Linked DNA regions of Drosophila melanogaster. The protein of the gene in region 1 interacts with the protein of each later gene in a pairwise test. Each region holds a gene or a part of one and is shown in the gene's direction. Other genes may lie near its edges.

Region 1 (3,907 bases):
GGCTATAGGAATTTCAGGCAGATGATGCTTGGAAAGTTCTCAACTTTTTCATTTTTATTTACCTGCAAATAATGCAAAGGAGATATGTATGTGAACAGCGTTTTAAGCTCCAACGATCTCTGTGTAAAGATAAAATATTGTAATTCATTTAAATGAACAAATCAGGCAGAGATCGAGGCTAAAAAGAACTGTCCACTTGGGAGTCAGGAAAAGTCAAAAGCCAACAGCCTCCACGGTAGATTGTTGTGATGTGATTACGTCAAAATTATTAAAACAGTCTCGAGTCCCTCATACATATACACATACATACACATACTTCGGTATGTCATGTTTCCCAATTCGTCTGCTGCCTTGATCGACACTGATCTCAGATAAGACAGTCAAACAGAGACCAACCAAAAAAAAAAAAAAAAGTATATTATAGCCGAAAAAAACGAATACCAGAGACAAGTGCATTTGCATCAGAGATATACCCCAACCCGTTTTCCAAATCTCGTGTGAAGCAACGTTTTCCCAAAAGAAGAAAACAGAGTCGCTGAGAATTCATAAACATCAGATTTGAGGTGTAGCCAACAAAGTTGTTGAAAAATATGAACAAATGAAAATATTTTCACCAACCGGGCCAAAATAGAAATGTGCATTATATCTACATTAAGAAGTTGGCTCCCCGCTCAAGATTGTCAGCATTGTCTGTTGCCCAGTTTTATGCTTTGACAGGCCATAGACGCACACAAGGCTGACAACAATGCCATTAGTCCCTGGACAAAAGCCAACCCAATGACAATTGACAACAGAGGGTATCCAAGAATTATCAATGGGAAACGCAGGGCAACTGTACAAGTTTGTCCGGGAAACGGTGTGAACCTTCTTCAACACTCACAAAAATTATTTAATAATTGTACTTAAGTCTATCCTAGCAAAATTTTACTAGATTTTAAAGGAAATCAAACTAAGAATGTACCTCAATTTTTGATATTTTTATATTTTACTTTCCTATATATGATTTTTTCAATTTATTATATGTTAAATATATTATTAACAAAGGTTTGTGATCTTATAACATTTACTTTTAACATATATATTCCTTGGACATACTTTAGTGAAAAGGATTCGCTTTTAATCGCTTCGACAGTTTTCATCAGCTACGTTTCTCCCTTAATATAAAGATAATTCTAACACTGTATCTTTAAAAGAAAATGTATTTCTTCGGATAATAAACTGTGCAGTTTCTTTTTCAGTGTCTTCTGTGATTGTGATTCCTCTAATCGCTCGCTAAGCTGCCAGACAAAAACACATGGCTTTGATTATTAGATCGTTGAAGCTCGCACAGAATCCATTCCATTCTATTCTATTCCATTTGGTGGGACTGTTCTTCGTTTACGATTCCTCTGCGAGAGTTGTTAGCATTTCCTAGAAGCCAAGCCAGGCAAAGCCGAATGCTGACCACGTTTTGTCCAACGCATCCGGCCAAGATTCTGGACTGGAACAGGGCAGTTGCTAGAGAAGTTGGCTGGGAACACGTCTGGGTTCGTGTAATATGCAAACTAGTGAGTCTCTCTAGCGATAACTGTACAGATAGGGTTTTTTTTCTGCAGCAACAACAACAGCGCAGGCTTACAAATTGCAGGCAGTATACGACGGCGCAATTTATGAGGACCGGCGCGATCATGGCGCGATCCTACAGATCAGGTAACTACAGGTAACTACTACTGAAAGCTGGCACAGCTGTTGCCAAAGGATTAGCCTGCAAAAGAGATAAGGACACTGGGTAATCCTTCCCCACTACTACCTGATTCACTCCCTCACTAAATGCACTACCTAAATTTGCATAAAAACTTAGATTCATCAAAACAAGAGCACATTCAACCAACAGCAGCCTTCGAGGAAGCAACACACAGCAGTCATCACATTTGACAGACAATACATACAATGTCGCAAATGCACAATACCGCATTCTACAAGGACGCTCTGGTTGCCCAGCAAAATAATACCTGTTCACCGATGGAGGAAATTGAACCGAACTACATCGACAACCTGCACATTATATTTTTCGAGCAGATTTTCGAAGAGATCGACAATCTGATCGATCAGGTACGCATGGCTAGGGCCTATCCACAGTTCATGCCACAGATTCTCAAGTTCTGGCAGAGGCGACTGCACCTGATCATCGGTCCAAATACACCATTCCTTGGACTCCTGGACATCGATGACTATGTCTTCTTTATGGAACACATGGCTGATAGCTTCACGGATCTGCACGTTCACGACGGCGTTGGTTCCTTTTCTGAATTCTACGACTATATCACACACCTGTGCGATATCAATATCACCAAGTTTCCCAAGGTGGACACTTGCATATTGGCGGGCAATCCCAACACAGTGGTCGATGAGGACATCCGCGACTTGACGGTAATGTTGCCCAATCTCAAGCGCCTAATGACCTGCATGAATCTATCTGGCTTATATATGCGTGGCTTCAAGAAGTTGGAGGAGCTGGTATTCAACTCCTTGTACCATTCGGTGCCATTGGATAGCCGCTGGATTCAGGATATCTGTCTGACAATGACCAATTTGAGAGTCCTTGACATTACCGATCAGTTCGACAGTTGTGTGAGACTCACAGACATCAAATTGCCCAATCTGGAAGTGCTAAAAATCAACTTGAGCACCGTAGAATGCATGCTATCGGAGGTGCTGCAGTTGCCCAAGTTACAGAAACTATCCGTGCGATTCGATGATTCGCGGCAATTGAACGCAGATCAGGAGACCATCTTCCAGCAGATTGTGGTGGCCAAAAGCGAAAGGATCACCCGAATTGCCCTGAACAACGAAGTGGTTCAATTGCCAGCTCGGTGGCAGCAAAGTTTGCTCCTCGAACTGCCCAAGCTGAGGAAGGTGATATGCGAGAATTGGTGCCACAATGATTTCTTCCTGGATCGCCAGCACATGCCCTGCCAACAAATGGAGGTGCTCAGCTTCAGTGGCTGGGAGATTGTGCGGGAGACTCAGCTCCTGGAACTGGTCGCCGAGTGCGTCAATCTGGAGCACTTGGCTCTGAACGGCTACCACAGCAACTGGGAGAAACTTACTAAGCTCGTGAATATTCGCAATCAGGAAAGGAATCCCAGACCACTGCAGGTGTTCAGCGACATGATGTGGGGCAACTTCACACCCGAGGAATATTATCACTGGCAGAGCAACAAATATGTTCAGGTCACCTGTGACAGCAGCGAATACGAATATCAGGAGGATGGTTTCGAGTTTGATTTTGAGTGAATAACAGCTCAACAATTTTACCAATTGTATATACTCCTAAACAAATATTTTTTTTCATGAATTTTGTAATTTTTTATATTTTCTATTGTATATAAATAAGACGCACTGGCTAAATCAAAAGCAACGCACATTTTCATTCTCAAACACTCCCCGATTGCAGGCAATTTTCCAAGAGGTCTCTCCTTCAACGGCAAACATTTATTTATTTCGCATTGCAGCGCTTTAGGGTCTGGCAAATGGAAAAATCAACACACTTTATGGCCAGCGAAAAGATTTAACTGTGCTTTGGGCCCCAAGTTGCCGTCATGGCTTCTTGGACTCTCCTCACATGTGGCATGACCTCCACTCACATGGCCAGTTAATTTCGCGAGGCATAAATTATTTGATTTGATTGAGTCGGAAAATGAGTTCGCAAAGTGCCCAAAGCTCTTTGCCGACTGTCCGGCTCAGTTCCCCGATCACCGAAACTCCTGACCATTGGCCAACTGGCCAAAAGAAGTGAAGTTTGGCATGGCATTGGGGATTTGGCTCTCTTACTTCAGGGTTGGCGCAATACAACTGCTTTCAAATAAGCTAGATTATAGATGTTTAACTATAATTTGTGTGTAATTGTTAATATTTTGGTTATTCC
Region 2 (3,513 bases), on another chromosome or scaffold:
TCGTTTCTTTTCGATTTTGTACTCTGTGCGCTCTGTTTTTTTTTTTTTTATCACAATCAGCCTCAGCAACCAACGCAATCTGTCATCGACCCATTTGTGGCGAGACATCACAGTGCCTGCTCTACTATACATATGTACATTTGTACACACATGGTATGTACATATGTATGTACATGTGCATATACCACGATCGTATCGGGAATCAGAGCACAGTGAAGTCGAGTGCCGAATGTCGGGAGAAGTGTCCATTGTCCATTGTCCACTGTGCACAGTGACTGCAAAAAGTTGAGCAAGAAAAAAAATGAATATAAGTTAATGCTCTTCTTTTTCATAGTTATACAAATTGTTCTATGCCGAAATTACAATTATATCATAAGGTGTTTACAACGCGGGGGCAACTTCCCCATCGCTAGTGTGCAAACATCCCGCACCCACACGCCTACGAAAACCTGGCCCACCTGCAACACAACAACACACACACACACACACACACACACATGCATAGATATATAGTAGATATACGTTTATACGCCATCCGATCTGAGTGATCGTATAAAAAAAAAAAAAACTGACGCACGCAGCAAGAAAGTGCGTATACGCAATTAGAATTCCATTAACTAATTTCTTCTCATTTGCATGGCGCACTTTCTAAGTGCATAAGCAGCATCTTGCCGCTGTAATAGCAATAAATAAAAGAACTTTCATTTAAATTTATTCACTTAACAATCGGGGGAAATGAAGAGCGGGCGAGAAGAACAGCATTTACGATGAATTTTTGAATATTTGTTTGCCGCTTTCGTGGCGAGCACACATGGAATTCATAATTAATTCGTGCATTAAATTTTCGAGTATATTATATTTGGTTATATTTCTGGCTCTTTTTTTATTGTTTTTTTTTTTTGTGTTTTTTTTTTCTTGCCGGCCAAAATCAATAAGTTGTACATATGTGAGAGTTTCCGTTAATGAGATGCATGATATCGAGGAATGTGCGCTGACACAAATATGCAAAACGATTTTCGTTTATTTCTGGTTATTAATGCCGCATTATTCGCTTGCAACTTGTGGCGGGCGGCCAGTGAAAAGCGAAGAAAAACTGGTTTTCCGGCAAATCACAGCAGCAGACCAATGCCAGTGCGACTCATTTATATACACACAAACATACATACATACATAATCACGTTTTCCTGCATCTCGAGATTCTGTGCAGCTGCAGTTGCAGTTGCAGCGAATCGACAAAATGGCGGTTTCAAAAAAGAAACCAATCAGTGAGTAAAAGTAAAATCGGTTTTTCTTCTTTCAATCGATGGTGTTGACCCAATAAAAAGAAAAGAGTGGAATATGTACCACTAATTTATGGTTTGCCATCGCCCAAATGAGAATTCCCAACACGTGTGCCTTATTTATTTCAATTTTAAGCAGTTTTCCGTTTTTTTTTCTTATAAAAGCCGCAAAGAGCACACTTCCAAAATCGGGATATTTTTTAGTGAGATTATATACAGATAGATAGCAGGTGAAGGGCAAGGAAATTATATATGTATTTAATTTCCAATGTATACAAATATTTTATATTTTAGAATTACAATGATAAACAAAAAATCATAAAACTAAAGAGTTTATCCCAAAGTTACTTGCAATGCTCAGAAACTACGCTAAGTAGGCTCCTATTCAAAGTGCTAGTCAAGCGAAGTGAGCAAAAAAAAAAAAAAATAAGCAAATTCAAAAAATTAAACAACCAAAGACATTTTCGAATTTCCCGCTTTGTTTTGAAACGGTTATGGAAGCGGTTAATTACCGAGTACAGCAAACTTGAACACTTGAGGGCGCCAGGCGTGATACGGTATTACCATTCGTGTTATTTATGCGGTATTACTATGCAGTGAATGCACGGGCGCACTTTTGACCGGCACTGTACAACACTGTGAATAGTGCAAAAAAATTTTTTACAACGTGATTAAATATAGATAATTTTCGAAACATAAACGGACCGTAAGAATCCGTTAACGTAGCCAGAGTAAAAGCTCTAGATACAAGCACATCGGACATACAGGAGGAGAGACCTGCGAATACCCGGGAAACCGTAAGGATCAGTCCATAAATCATCATGCCACGAGGAAAGTTCGTCAACCACAAAGGTCGCAGTCGCCATTTCACATCTCCCGAGGAACTGCAACAGGAATCGGAGGAGGATAGCGACCAGACCAGCGGCTCGGGATCAGATAGCGACGATAAAGACGCTGCCGGCGGCAAAGCCAGTTCCTCTGCGTCCAAAGCCAAGGCACCCGCCACACGTAAAGCGCCCGTGAATCGCAATCAAAAGTCTCGATCAGCGGCGGGCGCCGGTGCGGCAAGTTCCTCGGAATCGGAGTCTGGCGAGGATTCCGACGATGACTCCGAAGCGGAAGCGCGCGATGCCAAGAAGGGCGTGGCCTCACTCATCGAAATCGAGAATCCCAACCGGGTGACCAAGAAGGCCACACAAAAGCTATCGGCCATCAAGCTGGACGACGGGCCAGCCGGTGCCGGCGGTAATCCCAAGCCGGAGCTTTCTCGCCGCGAACGCGAACAGATCGAAAAGCAGAGAGCGCGCCAGCGTTACGAGAAACTCCATGCTGCTGGTAAAACCACCGAGGCTAAGGCCGATCTGGCCAGATTGGCTTTGATCCGGCAGCAGCGCGAGGAGGCGGCCGCCAAGCGGGAGGCGGAAAAGAAGGCAGCCGATGTGGGCACCAAAAAGCCGGGTGCCAAGTAGATAATCCATCCCTTTTGAAACCTTCCCTTTCCCATGTGGGATTTAATAGAGCTCTCAATCGTGCAACGTATACAAAATTCGCAATAATCCTTTTGATGAACAGTGCAATTAGTTAAGCATAAATTACCGCAAACATACCTTCAAAATTATGCAAGTTTTCTAAGCCTATCTTTTGTAACTGCAATTAACATAAATAAACCAACTAATTGTAAAAACAGAGAAAGTGCGTGTGTTTCGTGATGATTAATTAGGATCCCAGATTATATTATAACTATATATATAAGCGTCTTTGTATGTTCTAAACTTTAAGAAAGATGAAAATAGTATTCTGGTCTGGATATTCCACCAAATTTTAATGGAAGGCAATCAAAAGAATAATATGTAGACTAACTACTAGCTATGACTAAACTAAGAAAAACAATGCTTTGGACTTGGATTATACCACGCCCCAAACCTCCTCGAAGGCGGAACAGATTTTGGAGCACGCGATGGCCGCCGAAAGTGGATAGTTGCTAATGGAGAACAGCTCCTCCGTGTAGTCCGTTTTGAGAACGCCATGTGCGAAGGCTCCAATAACGATGACCACCGGCTCATCATAGCTGGCCGACGTCTCGTCACCATGTGGCACCAGATCCCGGCAATTGGGCAATAGTTTGCCAGAGAAGCTCATGGCGTACTTCTTGCAACCGACCGGCACATGATCCGTAATCGGATTCTTAATGACACTCATCAGACGACGTGAGGAGTCATTGGCGCGAATTTGG
Region 3 (4,211 bases), about 12 Mb from region 1:
GCCCAGCTGGTTGATCCTTGGCTTCGGAGGGGTACTACTTTTCGATGCGGATGTGCCCAAGAGCACGCAACCCCCGAAATAATCGTTTGGCCAAAATCAATTTGTGCCATTGTGCTGCTTTATGGGCTGTCATCCCGGTATAGAACCAGAAGCCCCCATAAAACCCCCATCGATCCATCGGCTTGTTAGCAGTTCATCAAAATTGTTTGCCGCATATTAATTGCCCGATGTTGGGGCTGCTACTGTGTCAAGCGGAGTGCGATCGTATTGCTCGAGCATCGGGTATTATTAATGCCCCCATACTACAATATCATATCGGACCATCACCATCGACTGGGAATATCGTTTTATTGACATTTACGTGCACGTGACTGGCCTGCGAAGATGTTTGCCTTCTGTCTAGCGAATAGTCACTGCTTTAGATGTGCAAACAAAATCGCGATGCTTGCTGCAGCCAATCCGGCGTATACGTAATGAACTGAGCAGCACTCTTTTTGCCCGGATCTGTAAGTTTTAGAACCATATCTATGGGTCCACGTGCTGGCAATTTGCACGCCCATTTTGGGTTTTACAAGGAGATTTGAATGCAATCGATTCGGAGCGTAGTCAGCTCGCACAATTTATGACCGCACTTTAATTGCTTTTGAATTTTAAGAAATATTTAAATTGTGCGAGAGACAGGGAAGTGCGAGTGACAGAGACAGCGGGAGAGCTTCACCACAGCCGTTGGTAAGCTTACGGTAAAACTTCGAAAGGTTTGTGTCTCAGCTAATGCTTAACGCTTTAAATGATTATTTAATCTTTAACATGGATAATTTCCTTGTAAAAATAAAACGATTATTTTGGATGGAAAATGAGAAAAACTAGTTGATCAAAATAATCCATGTTTCCAAGTGGTTTTTTCAATATTTCTTGACTGAAAATGGTCGTAAAGTAAAAATAATTACTGTTTTGTGCAGCTAATTACCAATGCTTACGATCCCTGTCCCGTTTTTTCGAATTAAGAAAAAAAAATTTTTTTGTCAATTTTCGAATTTTTATAAGGGGTAACATCATCAAATTTTGCAAAAAATCGCAAAAATTTAAAGTTTCCAAATTTGAACACTAATCGATTGGGAAGTTAATTAGGAGTAAAATAAGATATGCCACTCCACTTTTGAACCATTATTTTCAAAGTTGTGTCCAAAAAACGCATTATTTTTTAACCAAAAACAGGGAAATCGAGCTTGGACCAAAAAGTCATATTTACAATTTATAGGATTTATAATTATAGAATTTTTTGAATGCCTATCAAATGGGACTTAACCAGCACTATCAACAGCTCATTAATAAAAACAACAGATCAGCAAAACAAACTCAGTTCTCAAACTTTTTAGCAGAGCGGGCAAACGGCTCAGATCCATATGTTGGCCACTCGTATCCATTCGGTCTCGGTTATGTAGAGCCGCAGAAATGCGATATGGGGAACCCCTCCCCACCAAAAATTGCAGGCACATTCAATGAATTCCACAGTCAGTCGGAAAAATGGTGGGGGGGGGGGGTATGGAAAATGCATGGGTGCTAAACGTTTAATAATTGTCGTTGCCCACATGTACACTGCAAAGAATTGTACACTCAAAAATAATCCTATTTTCGTTATGTACGTTTAAACTGCGTTCTTTCAGTGGATCTCTCTATATATAAAGACATTACAGATAATTAAATTGTGAGATATTAAGCACAGAAAGGTTGACTGCATTTCTCATTGTGTATAAGAACAGAGAGCTGATCTCCCCACTGCACTCGGAGTATCCAGTTACTCGCCGGGCTTCAAACTATCCGAGTTCCCGCGTTCTTGCCAATGTGAATTTTGTTTACCAGCCATATCCATATCTTATTTAAATATGAACATTTCTGCCGCCCCACAACCGAGCAGTAGACACATTTTAATTAATAAGCACTGCCAGACGAGACGGCTTCTGTTCTCGGGCTCTGAATTCTGGGTTCTGGTTCTGGTTCCTCGTCTGGTTCTGGTCACAAAGTAGTCAGTCTTCAGCGCAGCTCGATAGCGAAAGATGTTTGCCGGGAGCGGCGGTCTCAGTGCCACCGATCCATCTAATCCAAGGTCGCGGGAATAGGACTGCTCTACTGTGTCGTTTGGCGCCATGTGCTGCTGGTGTGCACGTGTCTACTGGACGGTTCTGCACAATCTCCTGGCTCGCATGATGGACAGCCTGATGGAAGTCAGATCGCCCACCTTCTGTAGCTGCTGCTTCGGTTATCAGCGGCAGGCCAGTCAGGAAGGTGACGTCGCAGAACGGGTTTCCAGCACCGACGACGATCCACAACAGCAGCCCCGTGAGGATTACGTCATTGTGGGTGAGTACGCATCGATCTCTCGGTTTCAAAACAAAGCCAAATCCCCAGAGTGACGGCATATAAACCAAAACAGAAAGCACGATACAGTTCGTAGAGCTAAATTTAACTCGAATTTAAGTTTAAATGATCGAAATTTGATAAATAATAGATAACTACAGAGGCATAAATTAATGTAGAGTAATACTCAATTAGAAGATTAAGCGGTAAATAGGTCCAATTACTAATACAACATTTTTAATTCCGCAAAGACGATGCCGATGTCAACTACGCGGAGATTGAGGAGAGGCATGTGGAAAAGGAGCAGTACTACTTCACAGTGGATCGTCCTACGGCGGAGCGAATGCTCCATGGACGAGAGGACGGGTCCTGCCTGGTTCGACCTTTCAAGGCAGCCGACCAGTGGATCCGTTACATAGTGAGCATCTGGGCGGCGGATCAGTACTATCACCTGTTCATAAGGCAAGTGGATAGGAGACAACGCTATGCCATTGGTCAGAAGAAGTCTCAGGAGCGCTGCTTCGGATCCCCCTCGGAAATCGTGGAGTTCTACACGGAGCATCCACTTCTCTGCACCAACAAGGTCCGGAGCCAGTGCGTCCAACTCCGTCCCATCAGTTACGCTTAGCTAGGGGTCAAATCTTTATTGCATAAGAGAGGGCAAGTATGTACAAATGGGGTTAGCTTAAGACGATGCTCAGGTGGCCACCACCGCCTTGAAGGCGCACTGGTTGTTCTGCATCAGGGCGGGCCAGAGGAAGGCTTTTATCAGATCCGATCGCCGGTCCGCCTGGGGATGCCGCTCGTGTTTCTCGGGCCTCAGGAAACCTGCATGGGATTTACGTAGGTGTAAGATTGTTAAACGATTAAAGAGTAGCTTAAAACCCACCCAGGTTGAAGTCCATGTCCAGGTAGTACGGCGCCTTCTGGTTGATCATCCTCCAGGCCAGTCGGACACAGGCACTGACGTAGTGCGTCAACGGGGGGCAGGACTCCAGGCAGGGGTACTCGTGCAGAGTAGATAGCACCTGGTTGAACACCGACCGCTCGATCTCGCCCAACGGGAAACTCTCGGCGGTCTCGAAGAGGTGCTGGCGAACGGATCTGTCCAGGGACAAGGTGGTCTCACTGCTGCTGTCCAAGGGGCAATTCAGGACTCGCCGAACTTCCAGGACCTTTCGCTCCCGCATTCCGTGGCACAGGCGGAAGGAGAGCTACACAAGTACCAATAAGTTAAGAAAATTATCAATTAGATGACTATCTAATTAGACTTACTTATGAATGAATAAATAGTTTTTCGAAAATCATAAATATGTGACTTATTATTATCAACTAATCTTGATGGTACCATTTCCCTGCAAAAGTGTCGTTCATCTGAGATCGAAAGTGATTCAAATCCCAAGCGCCTACGTAATTTTCTGACACCCTGGGGGCTCCACTTTCCCTCACATTTTCACTGCACCAACGCCTAATCATCCTCTAGTGCGAATTCGATCTTGCAAAATTGATATTTTGCAATCGCAGTTTGTGGTCCGACAGGATTTAAAGCATCCAGAGCCCACGGGCTTGGCTGGAAATAATTGATGGCCAAGCACTTGAAAATTGAAAGTAATCTTCGCTGGATGAATTGGTCTCACAGTTTGAGAGTCATTGTGCTGTGCTAAATTTCCAAACGAAAGCAGTGCAAGCAGTTCGTACGCTGAGCTACTTCAAGATCAAGTTTATCAGCTTTTGACCTGCCAAATGCCAATTGGAAGAGTTCGTCCCAATTTTAAAACAATCGCTATTTTTTCACTTTTGACAAGGGCTTTATTCTATTTGAATAGCCTTAAGAATTGTATAGAAAAATATCTATT
Region 4 (3,150 bases), on another chromosome or scaffold:
CGGTACTATCAGATTATGGATGAATCGAAAAAGAAGAGGACCCTATGTTGTAAGATAGCTTTAAACTAATATTACATTTTACTACTAATCGATTTTATATAGGTGGCGGAAAAAACGAAAAGAAAAAGTCTAAAAGCCCAAAAAAGAAGAAAGGCAAAAAATAAGATCTTTCAACTTTAGTTGGCTTTGTATTTCCGTACTAAAAAAATATATATTTATTAGATTGTTTCAAACATTTGTGTATCGAATAAATTTATTTCTTACAAAATGTCTATTGAATCGGGAGAGCTAAAGTTGCCTACGGATAATCTCCTAAGGACATGCTTTGTTATTGGCGCTTTTGAACTGGTGCGTTCATTGTATTTTTCATTTAGTTCAGTTTCACTCATGGTCTTGCACGTAAGTATTGTATTTGAAAAGAACGTTCTTTAACATTTTTAGCCATTTATTGTTTTGCATTAGACGAATTGGTATACCATAATGGCCTTTCTAAGTACAATAGCTTGGATTGCGACCGTTGGTGGACTGTTTGTTGGTTTATTGACAGTAAGAATTAAAAAAATTTACCAACTATATACATATTTAACTGTTTCGTATTAATTAGAGTCGACCAACTCTGCTCGTATTTTGGTTACTGTTCACTGCCTTTGCAACTGCTACGGATATTATTTATTTAATATGGAATGTTACTTCATCTCCTATTTTCGACGCAGAACATTTAAAGCGCTGGACCATTTCATATTTGGGAATCTGTATGTTTTTAATTTAATAGCATTCTTAGACATTGAATTATAAATCTTTGCAGTTTACGAGGTCACTTGCTTATACTTGGTATTCAGATACTTTAGGAGATTATATTCCTACGTCCTTTTGGAGGGTGATAATTATGATACGACTACTAAAGGTGAATAGCTTAAGCACAGATTTATACGATATACTATACATAAATTTCAGATAGAAAAACAGAAGATTACAGAGATAATGAGACTCAAACCCAATCTCCAAGTTCAAAATACAGGACTTCTGGAAGATCTTCTAAAGGATAAAATGCCAGTTTGGACAAAAACAGCAAAAAGCTTGATTAATAATGATCATTTATGTTCGTTTCATTATGTTCAATGTCCACACACGGTTCAAAATCCCTTTGGAGTTACTAAAATAAATTAAAAATGGTTTTCTTCATGTGTTATTTGGATTTCTATTTACGGGAAATCAATTCCCGACCCCCCATAAGCAATGATAATAATTGACTTATACAGTTTTCCATCTATTTTCCGATGCCTGCGAGGACGATAGGTGGTCACGTTGCCATCGAGGGACCAGGAAAAAGGACAATTCAATCTCCAGGACCTGCTGACAAAACAAATGCCATAAATGAGGAACGAAGTTCGCCAGCAAAAAGCAGTTCACATTGGTTTAGAATGTTTTGGGAATACACTTGGCAGCTATTTTTAGAGCTCAGTATTTGAATGAAGAGATTATAAATGCATGTAATTTAGATGTATAAATTAAAACGGAAATTACAAAAAAATTCATGAAACTAAATATAATTCGCAGGAACATTGAACTTGGCATATATTGAAAACTTCTGTAGTGTATTGTACTTTTGGCCACTGAGTCTCCCTACATTCCCACGCTTGAATACCACTGTGCTGTGTCCATGAATGTTGGCAATCAAACGGCTTTGATTAACAGGCCGCCAAGACCCGAGTAACCCCCTTCTCCAATCGCCAAGTACGTGCTTATCATCATTATAGCTTTGATTTAGTAGACAACATTGCCAGTGATGTGATGAATCTTAGCCTGGGCGATGGGGTCAAATTCTGATGGATATTTAGTGCCCTGTGCCTATTGCATCGCCTTGCTGGACTTCATATCCGCCCTGCTATTCGCAATTATCTCAGGAGTGGTATTTGCCAGGCATGTAAGACAATTAGGCCACAGTCCTTTCAGGGAAATTGTGGCTCAATTTTGGTATTTGCAGGGTCATTGGACCGCCTTGGTTGCACTGATCTTCACCATTTTCTGGATGGTTATAATCATAGTTTTGATGGCGGGTATCTATAGGCGAAAACTGGGACTGGTACGATTCTGGTTGGTGTTCACCTGCTTGGGAATACTTCTAGATGGATTTATACTGCTCTACGGCCTGACCTTGGCCATATCTGTGAACTGGGAAGGTGTCAAAATCACAGTGCTGCCCTTCGTAGGACTGGGTAGGTCTAAATAATAATTAGCGTATTTAATTTACTGAATATATAATTGAATTTCCTTTTAGCCGTGGAAATGACTTTTGTCTATATCATATACCTACTTTATCTGGATATGATTGATTACAGTGCAACAGAAACGCCTCCCGATGAGAAGTATAGAGAAAGGAGTGGCTGTGATGTGAAATACGCTGAGGAAGAGGAAAAGCCACTGGATCGCAAGGATCTGAAACGGATGGAAAAACAAGCCAAGGAGCGTATGAAAAAAGATAAAGCCGTTCTCAAAAAACTTCAGAAACAAATGCGAAAGTGAAGGTATTAAGTGTTTAAAGTATTGATTTTTATATTTTTAAAATAAACATGAAATTGAATGCATTGATTTGAACTTTTCTTTTTGTCTGAGACAAGCTCTTTAACTTTTATCACACGCAGGATGCGGACCACTCACACCTACACAAGCCACTCACACACACACACACAAGAACGCCAATGTTAAACACAAAATCCTTTTAAAATAATTTGCTCAGCAGTGAGTAAAGAAAAAATCTAGAGATACAAATGCAGCTAAACGAATTCGAAGAGTTGCATGCCCTGTAGATAAATAATATATTTTTAATATTTTTACAAACTTGTCTTTTAATATTTTAGCTATAAAATAAATATATATAACCCTTCATTTTACGTTGTTGAGCTGCTGTCTGAAGGTCTGAAAAAACCCATCTTCATTGGTTGTGACGGAGAGTTTTTAACTATTTTTCCCCTGCTATTTTGGTTTTGAATAGGTCTTTTGGTTTCGCCATAATTAAAATGATGCCTTTGGTGACTGTGTTCTCTTTCATAATCCATACAAGCTTCCTGTTGTGCTATTTTTGTGGCTATAGCCTTATGACAGGCTTGGCAAAAGGCCAAAGTCACGTAGAACCGTTGAACGATGTATAGA

What was found.
Region 2: the proteins of bard (region 1) and CG11444 interact in a two-hybrid assay, tested with the Drosophila melanogaster proteins (one large-scale study listed by BioGRID).
Region 3: the proteins of bard (region 1) and CG15529 interact in a two-hybrid assay, tested with the Drosophila melanogaster proteins (one large-scale study listed by BioGRID).
Region 4: the proteins of bard (region 1) and CG14151 interact in a two-hybrid assay, tested with the Drosophila melanogaster proteins (one large-scale study listed by BioGRID).

What each region holds. Positions count from the first base shown.
Region 1 is NT_033777.3:18,079,192-18,083,098, forward strand, and holds bard (bard), read left to right. Parts: upstream 1-1,856; 5' UTR 1,857-1,929; coding exon 1,930-3,276; 3' UTR 3,277-3,392; downstream 3,393-3,907.
Region 2 is NC_004354.4:4,552,571-4,556,083, reverse strand, and holds CG11444 (uncharacterized protein), read left to right. Parts: upstream 1-1,685; 5' UTR 1,686-2,101; coding exon 2,102-2,749; 3' UTR 2,750-2,967; downstream 2,968-3,513. Other genes in the region: CG3527 (uncharacterized protein), read right to left, coding at 3,186-3,513.
Region 3 is NT_033777.3:30,150,037-30,154,247, forward strand, and holds CG15529 (uncharacterized protein), read left to right. Parts: upstream 1-2,022; 5' UTR 2,023-2,144; coding exon 2,145-2,358; intron 2,359-2,606; coding exon 2,607-2,983; 3' UTR 2,984-3,052; coding exon of another isoform or gene 3,053-3,183; 3' UTR 3,184-3,244; coding exon of another isoform or gene 3,245-3,569; 3' UTR 3,570-3,663; downstream 3,664-4,211. Other genes in the region: CG11498 (uncharacterized protein), read right to left, coding at 3,053-3,183, 3,245-3,569.
Region 4 is NT_037436.4:10,627,114-10,630,263, reverse strand, and holds CG14151 (uncharacterized protein), read left to right. Parts: upstream 1-1,779; 5' UTR 1,780-1,810; coding exon 1,811-1,924; intron 1,925-1,984; coding exon 1,985-2,216; intron 2,217-2,278; coding exon 2,279-2,523; 3' UTR 2,524-2,584; downstream 2,585-3,150. Other genes in the region: CG42535 (uncharacterized protein), read left to right, coding at 1-49, 103-164; CG42536 (uncharacterized protein), read left to right, coding at 268-399, 463-546, 605-752, 806-904, 955-1,046; CG34238 (uncharacterized protein), read right to left, coding at 2,889-3,150.